2 linked regions of the Arabidopsis thaliana genome follow. The protein of the gene in region 1 interacts with the protein of each later gene in a pairwise test. Each region holds a gene or a part of one and is shown on either strand. Other genes may lie near its edges. The genes, in order: KAN3 and AT1G27280.

Region 1 (6,855 bases):
TGATATTTGCGTTGTAGCTAGAAATAGCCTCCGATATTTTTACTGTTCAAATATACTTTTTTGCTATATTCATCTAAAGTATTTTTGATTTGACCAATCTAAAATTTTAGTAAAATATACTATATTTAAGTAAGATTATGTAATTACTACGTATTTTCATTATCATCATCGTATGCTTCATGTGTCTAAAGCTCTTGTTAAGGTTACCAATAAAAAGAATCTTCGTATGGTTGGTTAGTTTTCTTAACATTTGGAATTATGGATAGATTGTAATGTATTTCGTTTTATTCTCTTTTTTGGCTTTACTCAAAATGAATAATTAGAAGAAAAAATTAGTGAAAGTCTTCGTCGGGTCAACGTCACAAGTGTCAGACACGTGTCAGAGAACCATGTGTTAAGAAGTAAAGCAGTCCGATTTAGACACGTGGATGAGTCATAGCTTTGCATCGCTGTAATGATGACCAAATAATTTTATTCCCATTCAAGACAAGAACAAGCATCTCAAATTTATGACCCAAAAAAAAAAGCATCTCAATTTTACAGTACAAAAGGAAAAATGAATAAAGGAAGAAATAAACGTCATTTCATATATATTTTTTCAAAAGCATAAACTTTTAAGTTTGAGATTTATATAATTTTTAACAGATAATATGTATTTTTAGTATATATAAGAAAATTAGGGAGAGAGGTTTGGTGTAGCTAAAGTGAAATCAAGATTGGGAGTTTCAGTCTCTGGTCTTGTCCCTGTAAGGCTTGACGAATCTGACGACAACCGTTCGTTGCTTGGACATCTTCGATTCTTCCATTCATTCTGACATCATTTTAGAATAAAAGATTATATATTATAAGAATCATCTCATATAACATTTCATATATAGACTGTGTCTTTATTTTCAGTTTGCTTTCTATTTCAAAATTTCCAATTAAACTATTTTGAAGATTTAAAGACAATCAAATCTAGTGAATTGGGTTCTGAAAATAAAGTATCATAGATATCAACTCTCCAAAACAAAGTCTTTAATTTCTCTGCTTTTGAGACAAAATCAAAAGAAGAAAAACACTTTTTTACCCAAATGGAAGAGAAAAAAAGTAACTTATAATCCTTTATAAAAACTTTTTTTTTCTTTTTTTTCAGCCTCGAATTTTGCAAGTCCCGTTTTATTCCAATGCCCTTTTGGTTAAATTTTTGAAATCTGTTACCTCATTGGATGAAATGTCTACACCTGATGATGCCTTTGCCTTCAACTGGAACCGAGCTTCACTGTTTATACAGATTCAAATTATATCACATTGATTTTTTGAAGGAACAAAAAAGAATAATATAATGCTAATGATTTTGGCTCAACTAACATAATATTATATATATTAAGTTTCTCATATGATGCAAATATAGAAAGTTGCCTAATAAGTATATACATATCTGTCCAACAAATACTAAATTCTACTTAGGCAAATATTAAAACATAACATACCTTGAGGAGTTATTCCATAGACCCGTGAGATTTCTTGCTTCTCTCTCACTGTTTACTTGTGATCCATTCTCACAATCTGACTGCCCTATACACACACGTTTATCAGATGTATAGTATTTAACAGATAATTTAATTAAATCAAATACATAATCAATCAAATAACCTGATGACGTTGTAGGTTTTTCAGTAGACTTGATGGTTCGATACATCTGAAACATTATAGATTAGATTACTAATATTATATATAAGTGCTAGTTATAAGAATAATTAATAGTTATATCGATCAATACATACACATGAATTATATATAATGTGTGTGTGATGTTCGTGTGTTTAGACTTGTTCCATTCAGGCATTCACGTGTGTGTATATAAGGCTATAACCTAGATATGCACGCACACAGAGACAGAGATGGATAAAGTAAGAAAAAAAGAGATCAAAGTAAAACAGAAAGCATTTACGATTCATGAAAATGTGCAGCCATACACAGAGATGGGAGATGTGCATGGGTCTACGTGCCTTATTCTGACTATAGTCAAATTATGCAAAACAGCAACTTATATATTTGTTATCATTGAAGAATCATGCATATACATATATGTGTGCATATCAATCTAAATATCATCATTGAAGAATGATGTCTCCTTTGTACTTTTACTTTTCTACTGCATCTCTAGTAATAAAAGGACTCTTTCTCTTACTCTTTGTCTATATCTTGCTTTTGATTCCTTCTCTTTTTATCTTTTTTCTTTCTTCACTTTGTATATAATTTCTTTATATATATATATATATATATATATATATATATATATATATATATATATGGGGGCGACCAAAAGTTTAACCATGTCCAAATTAATCACAATTTTTCTTTTAGCCATTTCATAAAAAAGTGCAGTGGGTTTGGTTCATTTGCATATTCAAATCCATAATACAATAAATTCATTTATTTACCTATACATTATGTACCTGTAACTTAAGAAGATTACCTGTAGATGGGATTTAACATGAGCCAATGTGAGATCTTGCACATCCATCAGCTCAAGTACTGATTTTGGGGTTGCTCCTGGATATTAATCATAATTACTAAGTCAATAAAAATAGAATTTTTGATCAAGCCTATTCATTATTCTTTTTGTTAAAAATGAAAAAGAGATATAAATTCAATTAAATAAAAAGGGGTAATAGTGAAAAAGGACAATACTTTCATGACCACCCAATAATTGAACAGCGTGTACAAAATGGGCGTGGAGGGTCGTCGTCCACCGCATCCTTGGAGCCCTTACTCCTCTTTTGGCGGTGAATCTTGGCGGCTGCGGTTGAGCTTGACGCCGATGACGGTTGTGGAGATTAAAACTACAATTAGGGTTTGTGATTAAGCGACGACTAGCATGTTGACCGTTGACTTCACTGAAGAAGAAAGGATTGGGAGAGGTAGATGAGTAGTAGTAGTGGTCAAGGACTTGATTCTGGTAAAGAGGGATTCCTCTTATTGGTCTCATCATAAAAATAGATCTCAAGTCTTGATCGAGAGATTCCTTGTGTTCTTGATTACTATTAATCTTGGTGGCTTCATTGTTTGAAGTGAACTGGAGAGTGTGGATGAGATTATTTGAAGACTTGTTGTCTAAATCTGAGGCTTTACTCTGAAACCCTAATCTCCTTTCGACTTCTTGTTCTTGTAGTTCTTGACTTTCTTTTTCTTGTTCTTCTTCTCTTCTTCGGCTGATCTTCAAGTACAAGTCAGGTTGTGAAGGGAAAAGCTCCATAAGAAGAGAGAATTGGTGAATGATTTTGAGATAATCTTGATGAATTTTATGGGAAAAAGGAGGGGTATAATGTTATTTATTTCAAAAAGTTTTTTTTTTCTTCTTCTTAACTTAATGAATTTTTGTTCTTGGTGAGAAGAGAAAAGCAGTTGTAAAGAATTAGAGAGAGAAAAATAGGGATGGCAAAAGGTATGAGGGAAATGAGAAGTCTCTTTCTTCTCTGTTCCCTTTGAGAAAATGACACTTTAAGAGTCTAATAAAGGGGTTGGGTGAAACATGAATTTCCATTTAATTTTTCCTTTCCCTTTTCTTCATATGTAAAGGAAAATACCAATTTATATGGCATATTTTGTTACAATGTAGATATCATCTATCACATATCAGTATTTAATGATGGTATAATAAAACAATAATGTATGGAATTATTCGATTATTTGTGTTCAGATTTACATGTGAAAATGACACTTGTGTTGAAACTGAAAGATGCGTGTGTGTATATGTTTTTTTTTCCTGATAATATCATTGTAGAAAATTTAAAATAAGAATCAAAGGCTGATATTTTCTTAGAAAACAAAAAAGGAACAACCATAGCTACTTGTTTAGTTGTTGATAAAATGCTACTATATATAAAAAATACACCTGCATGAAATTTAAGAGATGAAGATACATTAAAACCAAAACTGAAGTCTCGTCGTCACTTGTTGTTTGTCTTGTTTATTGGTTTAATTCTTTGTCCTCCTTGAAATCGGAGTTTGGAATTATACCGAACATTACGAACTTGGTGGCTGGGTGCCTAAGAATAAATTGAATATGATATTGCGTCTAATTAATACCTGAAAAAGCTTTTCTTTTTCCTTCTATATATTGTTTGTGGAGAAAGTGATTTTGTTTACGTGATAAGATAAAATTTAAGGAAAATAAGAAATGGGAAAAGAATAATATCACATTGACAGTGAGATATCACCTTAAAATATATATTGTATATAGTTTCGATTATGTTTATTAGTAATTTTCAAAACAAGTTAACATTAAAGGTTTTTTATTCCACGAAGCATTAACTTCATTTCCATCAAAATACTATACGACATTAATTTAATTTTGGCCCTAGTGACACCGATAGACAGTCCAAGATTTGATTCCCAAAACGCCCTTTGATAATTCATGTCCCCTAAGCCCATACATCGACAGATAATGTTGGGGACGATCCTTAGATTCATTTGTTTTTTTTTATATTTTTCACATATTTGATTAAACTAAGAAAATCTGAATCCAAAAATAGGTTTCCGTAAAAGTCGAACCTTTTTCCAGTTTTAGTTCCGGCAGCACGAGGAACGATATAAGACAAACGGAAAGGAATTTTTATGGAAAATCGATAGAGAAAATAAGATTAAAGAATATAATTTAATTTACTTGATTGGAGGCACTACCAACCGACGATGCATAAGACAAAGTTAGAAGCTCAAAAACATTACTAGGTTAGGAGATAAAATCTTATTCTTTTTTAACCGAATCATTAAATAAATCGTATTAATCGAATCTTATTTGTTTTTCAGCAATCCGCGATTAACTATCATCACTAGTACTTGAGTTTTGTAGCAATGAATCTTATTTGTTCTTCTCGTCGTCACATACAAACAAGAAACTAATCATGATAAGTTCTGAGGGGTCGGACTTAAGTGACGAATAAATAGGAGAAATATCAAAAACTATTGAAAATTTATAGTGGTCAAATAGAGAACAAAGGTTCCCATCAATTTGAGTAAGTTACTCCGACACGGGGACGTAAGAGTGAAACCTAGTGAAAAGCATGCTGTCCACTTCACTTAGTGTAAAATTGTAAGACCTTTCAGGGCACACAGTTTGTTGTATATTTTAGATTTTTATTTCGTAAGGTTATCCGTATATACGAATCAATTTCCTACATATATATATATATATATATATATATTTCCTTCATAATGTGATGAAAAAGAGAAGTACAATAGGAAAAAGATTGATTGAAAAATGAAAAAGTAGAAGCACACTTAATAAAGGAGTAGAGGAGAAAGATTTGGAGTTTATAGAATAATTGCCCCCACGAATCTTTTTTTGGGAGATATTTTAAGCAAATCTTAACTTTGGGGAATTTGATAAGAACCCACATTTCTATTCGGACAAAAGAGTTGCTTGCAAACTTTAAGTCGAAAAATTATTTATCTGGTATTAAAAGAAATGAATTAAAATCTACAAGGGAAAAAAAAGAAAAACCTAATCTTAGCTAGCTGGTTATACGTGTGTCATGTAATAAAATGAAACTATTTGACTAAGTTCATATTGGGTGGGACTGGTATCACTGGACTGTAAGGAATTTGTTTTTAATAATAATATTGTTATGGTAGAGGAATTCTTATTTTTTTAGTAGATTGGTGTGTTATTGGTTTGATAATTTTTTAAGATTAGGATTATACGATGCAAGTTGAATTATTGAATTTGTTTTGTCAATTGTAAGAAATGACAATAATTTACGCATCTAAATGCTGTGGGGAAGATATAAGCTTTTTGTACAGTAATAATGGTTACTTACTATTCCATCAACTATTAAAAATCATGTAAAGAATAAAGACCTACCACTTTCATTGTTTGCTAGCTAGTATATATATATTTATGGTTAGTAAAGTAATAGAAAATCAGTACAAAGACAAAATTTAAGGAAATGAATTAAGAGTTCTTGGTTTTGGTGCATGTGGAAATATTTGAGGTTAAGACTGTTTACTGTTGGAAATTTTAAGCAAACAAGACATAATCAATCATTGTTTTAATTTGGGATGTAAAAACAATTTTTTTAATGCCTAAGAACAACCTTTTGTTAGTGTGTGTATGTATATATGGATACATATTATTTAATAAATCATTTTCTATTGTGTGTGAACGAACATATAACTCAAAACATAAAAATACTAAGATTTACTAATTCTTGTTTGATTAGTATAACAAAATTCACGAAATTATATTAATATGCACATATGTGTTTTTTTTCACAAAAAGTTTATTGGGCCACAAAATCTAGCCACAAATGAATCGCATTGGCCAAGTTTCTACTTGATCGAACAACTAAAAAAGCTTAGGGTCACTAAACATTTTATTACTTTTGGGAATCAGATATCTCTGGAAATCTCATAGAGGTTTGTCTACTTAGAAGTTTTTAATTGCCTAAAATTCGTTGTCATAAAGAATGGGGCTGAAGAAGATGTGTAAATAAATATATAAAATTATGTTTCAGAGAAAAACTCCCGAGTCCTCGCATCCTCTTCATATAGTCCTATTTATTCGTTTAGGACCATTGACCTTCTTCTTCAAGAATACCTCTACCATAGTCAACACAAACCTACAAATGCAGAAGGAGATAATTAAGATGGTTAATAACAATTTGTTTCTTCAAAAGCCCGATGTTTATAAAAATTCATAAATGGACAAACTCGACAATTGTACATTGGGTTGTGGAGGCCCAATTAAGGCCCATATATGAATCTGCAGTTTAATGGCATATAGCGTGGAGGAAACGTAATAGATTATTAAACCTTTATAGGCATCAGGCGTCAACCGATTGCTTCCGCCAAGCAAAGCAAAAGTTGAGA
Region 2 (6,435 bases), on another chromosome or scaffold:
ACTCTGTGAAGAGAGCATTTCATGATGAACCTGCAAAATATGAGGAACTTCTTAAGCTCTTGAATGATATTGAAGCTCGTAGGTATGAGTTGTTTTCTTCATGTTATGTTCGATTTACTCAGTCTAACCAACAAACACGCATGTGAATTGATTCTAATGTTACTAAGTCTCTTTGTAGAGTCGATGCTGCTAGTTTCATTGCAAGTGTGGAAGAACTCATGAAAGATCACCAGACTCTGCTTAATGGTTTCAGTGTCTTCCTTTCAGCTGAAATGAAGTTTATCAGGAAGCTTAAGGTATAGACTGCTAAATTTGGTATACTAAGCCTGAAGAAAACCATTTTGATGTTTCCAATTTGTTAACTTGCGGCTTAAGTAACAAAATGGTTTCGTGTGCAGGCAAAGTTTCAGGGCGATGGTAGTCATGTAGCTGACTCTGTTCTTCAGATATTGAGAATGTACAGTGAGGGAAACAAGTCCAAAAGTGAGGCGTTCCAGGAGGTATGGTTCTTGGTTGAGTCACTTTGTGTTTTGCTTTCTTAGTTCTCTGGTTTGATTTGCTTTGTTATCGTTTGCAGGTCGTTCCACTTGTTCAGGATCATGAAGATTTAGTCATGGAGCTTATAAAAATTATTTTCAGTGATCCATAGAGTCTAGAGATAGGCAAGGACGGTACCGGAAGACTGTTTATACCTTCAGAGACAAAAATATGAGTAGAGCTTCTAATGAGAAGAGAGTGTTTTTAGTTTTCTTTGTAAACATTTGAGTTTAGCTTTGATTAACATGACATTCACAAATATGCTATGCTTCTATGCTCAATGAATTGGTGTATAAGATACTAAAAGATAGTGTATAGTTTCTTTTGTAGAGCTTTCTTTAATATCAAAATGTTTTTTTCACTTAATATTTTCTGGTTATCTTTGGGGTCATCTTTTAATAGAAACTGAGAGGAGAAACACTCAAAATCAGAGTTCAACGTTGAAACAATAACAGAGAGGAACAGAGCAAACCAAACAAGAATTACTTGAGTAAATACAGAGCAAACCAAAGAAATTTTAGTAAATCTAATGACAACAAATATGTTTTCTAAATTATTGTATAAATTACGAATTGATAAAATATTTTATTATCATATTGAAGAAAGCTTTTAAAATTTCAGATTCACAAATTTTACAAATTACAGTTTTACAACAACAAAAAGAAATGAAGTCAATATGATAATCCCCTACTATAAATATAGACTCGTGAATAAAACTCAAATCAGTCTCTGAGGTTTTGGTGAGAGAAAAAAAGAACTCAAAACAGAGTGCGTTTGTTTCTGGGAATCTTGAAGCCTCTCCCACTTGCGAAGACGAAGCTTGCTCGTTAGGTAGTTTTCTTCTTCTTCTTCTTCGTTTCAATTCCTTTTTCGTTCATGTGAAATGTGAAATCATGTGACGTGACGATTAGGTTAACGATCGAATGTCTTGATCTCGTATATGATTCTTTTCTAGTTTCTTGATCGGCACGTCTTGTTGTTTTCTTTCTATCGAGACTGATTCTAGATGTTCTTAAGGATCTTGTTGGATGAAATTTACATGAATCTGTATTCTAGAAGATGAACTTTGCATGAATCACGACGAACTGATTTAGTTGTTGCTGTAGATTAAGTTTCTCGAGATAGATTCGAGATACACGAAGGGTTTCAATGAATAATCTGATCTGTTTCGATGAACAATAATCTTTATCTTTGACTTATGGATTAGGCTAATTTGACACCATGGTTGGAAAAAGCAAATCACCAGAGTTCAATTTCGAAGATGGGATGGCATACTTCGATGCTGTGAAGGTCGCATTGCAGGATACTGAACCTGAAAAATATCAAGAGTTTGTAAGAATCTTTATTGATTATACTGCTAATAGGTATGTTTTGGTTTGCTCTTCAACAGTTTAGAGAACAAAGACACATGTGAGAATTGATTCTGATGTTATTTTTCTCTTTATAGATTCGGTTTCGAAACTTTGAGTGCAAGCTTGCAGGAACTCCTGAGAGATCACGCGAATCTGTGTCATGGTTCAAATGTCTTACTTCCTTTTAGGTTGCAGACAGCCATCCCTCCCGAGGCTAGCGCAGAGTTTCACATCAATAAGGTGGTTGGAAGAAGCGTACCACCGGCGGTGGCGGTGCCTACCATGGATGATGCGACTTCTTACCTCAATGCTGTGAAGGAAGCATTTCATGATGAACCTGCAAAATATATGGAAATTACTAAGCTCTTGACTGATCTTAAAGCTCGTAGGTATGAATTGTTTTCTCCATGTTATGTTTGATTTTCTCAATTTACACAACAAACACACATGTGAATTGATTCTGATATTACTAAGTCTCTTTGTAGAATCAATGCCGCTAGTGTCATTGCAAGGATGGAGGAACTCTTGAAAGATCACTTGAATCTGCTTCTTGGTTTCTGTGTCTTCCTTTCACCTACAAGGAGGTTTATCACGAAGCTTAAGGTAATAGAGTGCTTAAATGCTTATAGTTACTGGATGTTTCTTATATGTTAACTTGTGATTTAAGTAACAAAATTGTGGATGTGCAGGCAAGGTTTCTGGGCGATGGTAGTCAAGTAGTTGACTCAGTTCTCCAGATATTGAGAATGCACAGTGAGGGAAACAAGTCCAAAGATGAGGCGTCTCAGGAGGTATGGTTCTTTGTGGGACACTTTGTGTTGTGTGTTGCACTTTCTTAGTTCTTTGGTTTGATTTGCTTGTTACCTTTTGCAGGTCCGTGCACTTATTCAGGGTCATGAAGATTTACTCATGGAGCTTTCAGAAATTTTCAGTGATCCATAGAGTCTAGAGATAGCTAAGGACAGTACTGGAAGACTATATACCTTAAGAGACGAAAACATTTGAGTTTAGGTTTGATTAACATGACATTCACAAATATGCTATGCTTCTATGTTCAATGAATTGCTGTGTAAGAGACTAAAAGAAAGTGTATTTGTAGAGCTTTCTTTGATATCAAATGTTTTTTTCACTTAATATTTTCTGGTTATCTTTGGGGTCATCTTTTAATAGAAACTGAGAGGAGAAACACTCAAAAACAGAGTTCAACGTAGAAACAAAAACAGAGAGGAACAGAGCCAAAAACTACAGAGCAAACCAAATAAGAATCAAGTAATTCTAATAACAAATATATTTTCTAATTTAAGTAAACCTTATATGAATTACGAAATTGATATACTCCCTAGTATAAATATAGACTCGTGAACAAAAACTCTATGCAGTCTTGAGGTTTTTACTTTGCTTCTAGAAATCTTGAACTCCTTACTCTGCGAAGACGAAGACGAAGCTTCTTCTTGTTCATCATTGCTGCTTTGCTCTGCTTATATCGGTAGCCATACTTGGTTCCTCTTTCGATTTATCATTTGTTTCGTTCAGTTGATATGTCAATTCACCAGACGATTAGGGTTACGATCGAGTTTTCTGGTTCTCTGCTTTCAAATCGTTCCTCAATCTAGGGTTCTTGAGGAAGTAGATCGATATTTATTGCACTTGGCTCTGTTTCTTGAAAAACTTTAAAGAAATAGCTTTGAGATAGTAGATGGATTCAAATGATGTGATCTGACCTGTTTGGATTATAACAATGGTTTTAGGTCACACCATGGATGGAAGAAGCGTACCATTAGAGTTAACTAAGGATGATGAATACTCATAACTCGGTTCTATGGAGGAAGTATATCATGATGAACCTGAAAAATTTAATCATATTCTCCACCTCATACGTGATTATTTTAATCATAGGTATGTCTTGATTTCCCCCGGTTATGTCTGGTTTGTTCTTAAACAAATACAGATGTGAAATTGATTCTCATGTTTCTTATTCTCTTGTGTAGAGACGATAGAGCTAGAATCACTGCATGTATGGGGGAACTCATGAGAGATCACTTGAACCTGCTTGTTCGTTTCTTTGACTTCTTTCCAGCTGAGGCTAGCGAAGGGTTAGCCCAACTTCAAACCATTGCTGCAACAAGCGTATCACCGGATTCTACTATTGATGATGCGGTTTCATACATCAACACTGTCAAGGAAGCATTTCATGATGAACCTGCAAAGTATTACGAGTTTTTCCAGCTCTTTTATGATATCAGGTATAGGTATGTATTGTTGTGTCCCTCTTCAATTCTGTTTGCCCTTAATTTCAAGTCTCAATCTATACAACATTGTGAAGTGATTCTGTTTGTTATATACTATTCTCTTTGTAGATTAATTGATGTTGCTGGTGGCATTACAAGGGTGGAGGAACTCTTGAAAGCTCACAAGAATCTGCTTGTCCGTTTGAATGCCTTCCTTCCACCTGAGGCTCAGAGAATCCTCCATCTCAAGATTGAGCAACGGGCTGCATCTGATATTAACAAAAGAAAACGTGTAGCGAGTTTTATCGGCAAGCTTAAGGTATAGAGTGCTAAAATACTAAAACTAATCCTTACCATTTACCATTTTGATGTTCCATCTATGCTAACAGATCCGTCGATGTACAGGAAAGGTTCCAGGGGGATGATCGTCATGTATATGAGTCGTTTCTCGAGATATTGACAATGTACCAAGAAGGAAACAAGTCCGTGAATGACTTGTACCAGGAGGTAGGGTTCTTGGTTGGGACACTTTGGTTGGATTACACTTTCTCTTAGTTCTTTGGTTTGATTTGCTTTGTTGTCTTTGCGGGTCGTTGCACTTCTTGAGGGTCATGAAGATTTAGTCATGGGGTTTGCAGACGTTTTCAAGAGACCCACTGATCCATCAGGGTCAAAATCTGCTAGAGATAGCTAAGTACATTAGAAGACTGTCTCTGCTTTAGTATAGGATGCTTTGAATATAATGCATGTTTGGGGTATAAGAGACAAAAAGAGTAGTTCTTTCTAATGAGAAGTGAGTGTATAGTTTTCATATGAGATTAGTTTGATTCTTACTCCATAGAGAACATGATGTCATGATATGCAAATATGCTTTTATATTTGAGGTGTAGATTGATTGGATATAAGCGACTAAAAGAGAGTGTATAGTTTCTTCTGACATGTACATGTATGATATTTTCCTCGTTACCAAGAAGACATGAGATTTTGGGGTCATCTTAGTTCAACGTAGAAACAAAAACATAGAGAAACAGAGCCTTAGCACAAACCTATAAATGACCAAAAAGTACAAAGCAAACCAAACAAAAATATAGTAGTACCAATTACCAAATATGTTTATCAATATAGTAAATCGGGTAATTCAAGTGAATTGCTGGTCTCACACATGGCACGAGGCTTCTTGCTTGCAAGTGAAGCTACAGTCAAATTCTGCTAGCGTACTTGATCAAAAGATATATGTAGCAGGATGCTGTAAGGATGGCGATTCGAATTCCTATTAAAACTTGATGGAGGTGTTCGACACAAAAACACAGACTTGCGATCCTAAGCCAATCCCTTGCAGCGAGACATTTGGCGGCTTTGACTACAAAACTCTATGTCTTGACGGAAAGTTCCACGTAGGACCAGTACCTGTTGATAAAACAAGGATTAGATTGGCTGATTATGGTGGAAAGAGGGCAGTTTTGTGGCCTAATAATATTCACTCGCTTAGGAAGATGATTTGGTGTGCAGAGGTTACGCTTGAAAAGCGCAAAAGTGGTGAAATATGGGGGAAAGTTGAGTGGTTTGTGTAGAGTATATAAGTAAAGGATAGTTTAATAAATCATTAATCCCTAATTCATTCTAATGTAGTCACTATATATATTGTAATTATATCATCTAATGAATTATTCAGCCTTCAATACTATATGGTATCAGAGCTTTAAACGATCCCTAAACCTAAATCTAGCCGCTACTCTGTTTTTCATCATTTTTCATTATTTTTCTTTCTCTTCAATGGCTTCTGAGACTGTCATTACATCTGATTCAACCAGTCTTCTCAACGTCAATATGACTAATGTTACCAAACTCACGTCCTCTAACTTTCTCATGTGGAGGCGTCAAGTTCAAGCTCTACTCAACGGCTACGATCTCACCGGCTACATTGACGGCTCCATTGTCGTCCCACCTGCAACCATCACTGCAAATGGTGCAGTTACGGTCAATCCTGCCTTCAAGCACTGGCAAAGGCAAGATCAACTCATTTACAGTGCTCTACTAGGCGCTATTTCAATCTCGGTTCAACCGATCCTCTCCCGAACAACAACATCTGCTGAAATTTGGACTAAGCTGATGGACACATATGCTAAACCCAGCTGGTCTCACATCCAACAATTACGACAACAGATCAAGCAATGGAAGAAGGACACCAAATCCATCGATGAATTCTTCCAAGGCTTGGTGATGCGATTTGATCAACTAGCTCTCCTTGGCAAGCCGATGGAGAGTGAGGAACAGATGGAAGTCATTGTGGAAGGGCTCTCCGATGACTACAAACAGGT

The links.
Region 2: the proteins of KAN3 (region 1) and AT1G27280 interact in a two-hybrid assay, tested with the Arabidopsis thaliana proteins (one large-scale study listed by BioGRID).

Annotation. Positions count from the first base shown.
Region 1 is NC_003075.7:9,847,458-9,854,312, forward strand, and holds KAN3 (Homeodomain-like superfamily protein), read right to left. Parts: upstream 3,471-6,855; 5' UTR 3,242-3,470; coding exon 2,677-3,241; intron 2,539-2,676; coding exon 2,462-2,538; intron 1,682-2,461; coding exon 1,636-1,681; intron 1,558-1,635; coding exon 1,473-1,557; intron 1,262-1,472; coding exon 1,201-1,261; intron 812-1,200; coding exon 677-811; 3' UTR 476-676; downstream 1-475. UniProt on the Arabidopsis thaliana protein: Probable transcription factor that regulates lateral organ polarity. Plays a role in lateral root formation and development.
Region 2 is NC_003070.9:9,470,319-9,476,753, forward strand, and holds AT1G27280 (Paired amphipathic helix (PAH2) superfamily protein), read left to right. Parts: upstream 1-3,708; coding exon 3,709-3,785; intron 3,786-3,877; coding exon 3,878-4,138; intron 4,139-4,246; coding exon 4,247-4,436; intron 4,437-4,522; coding exon 4,523-4,672; downstream 4,673-6,435. Other genes in the region: AT1G27260 (Paired amphipathic helix (PAH2) superfamily protein), read left to right, coding at 1-82, 179-296, 399-500, 578-649; AT1G27270 (Paired amphipathic helix (PAH2) superfamily protein), read left to right, coding at 1,759-1,901, 1,985-2,278, 2,375-2,492, 2,579-2,680, 2,763-2,831.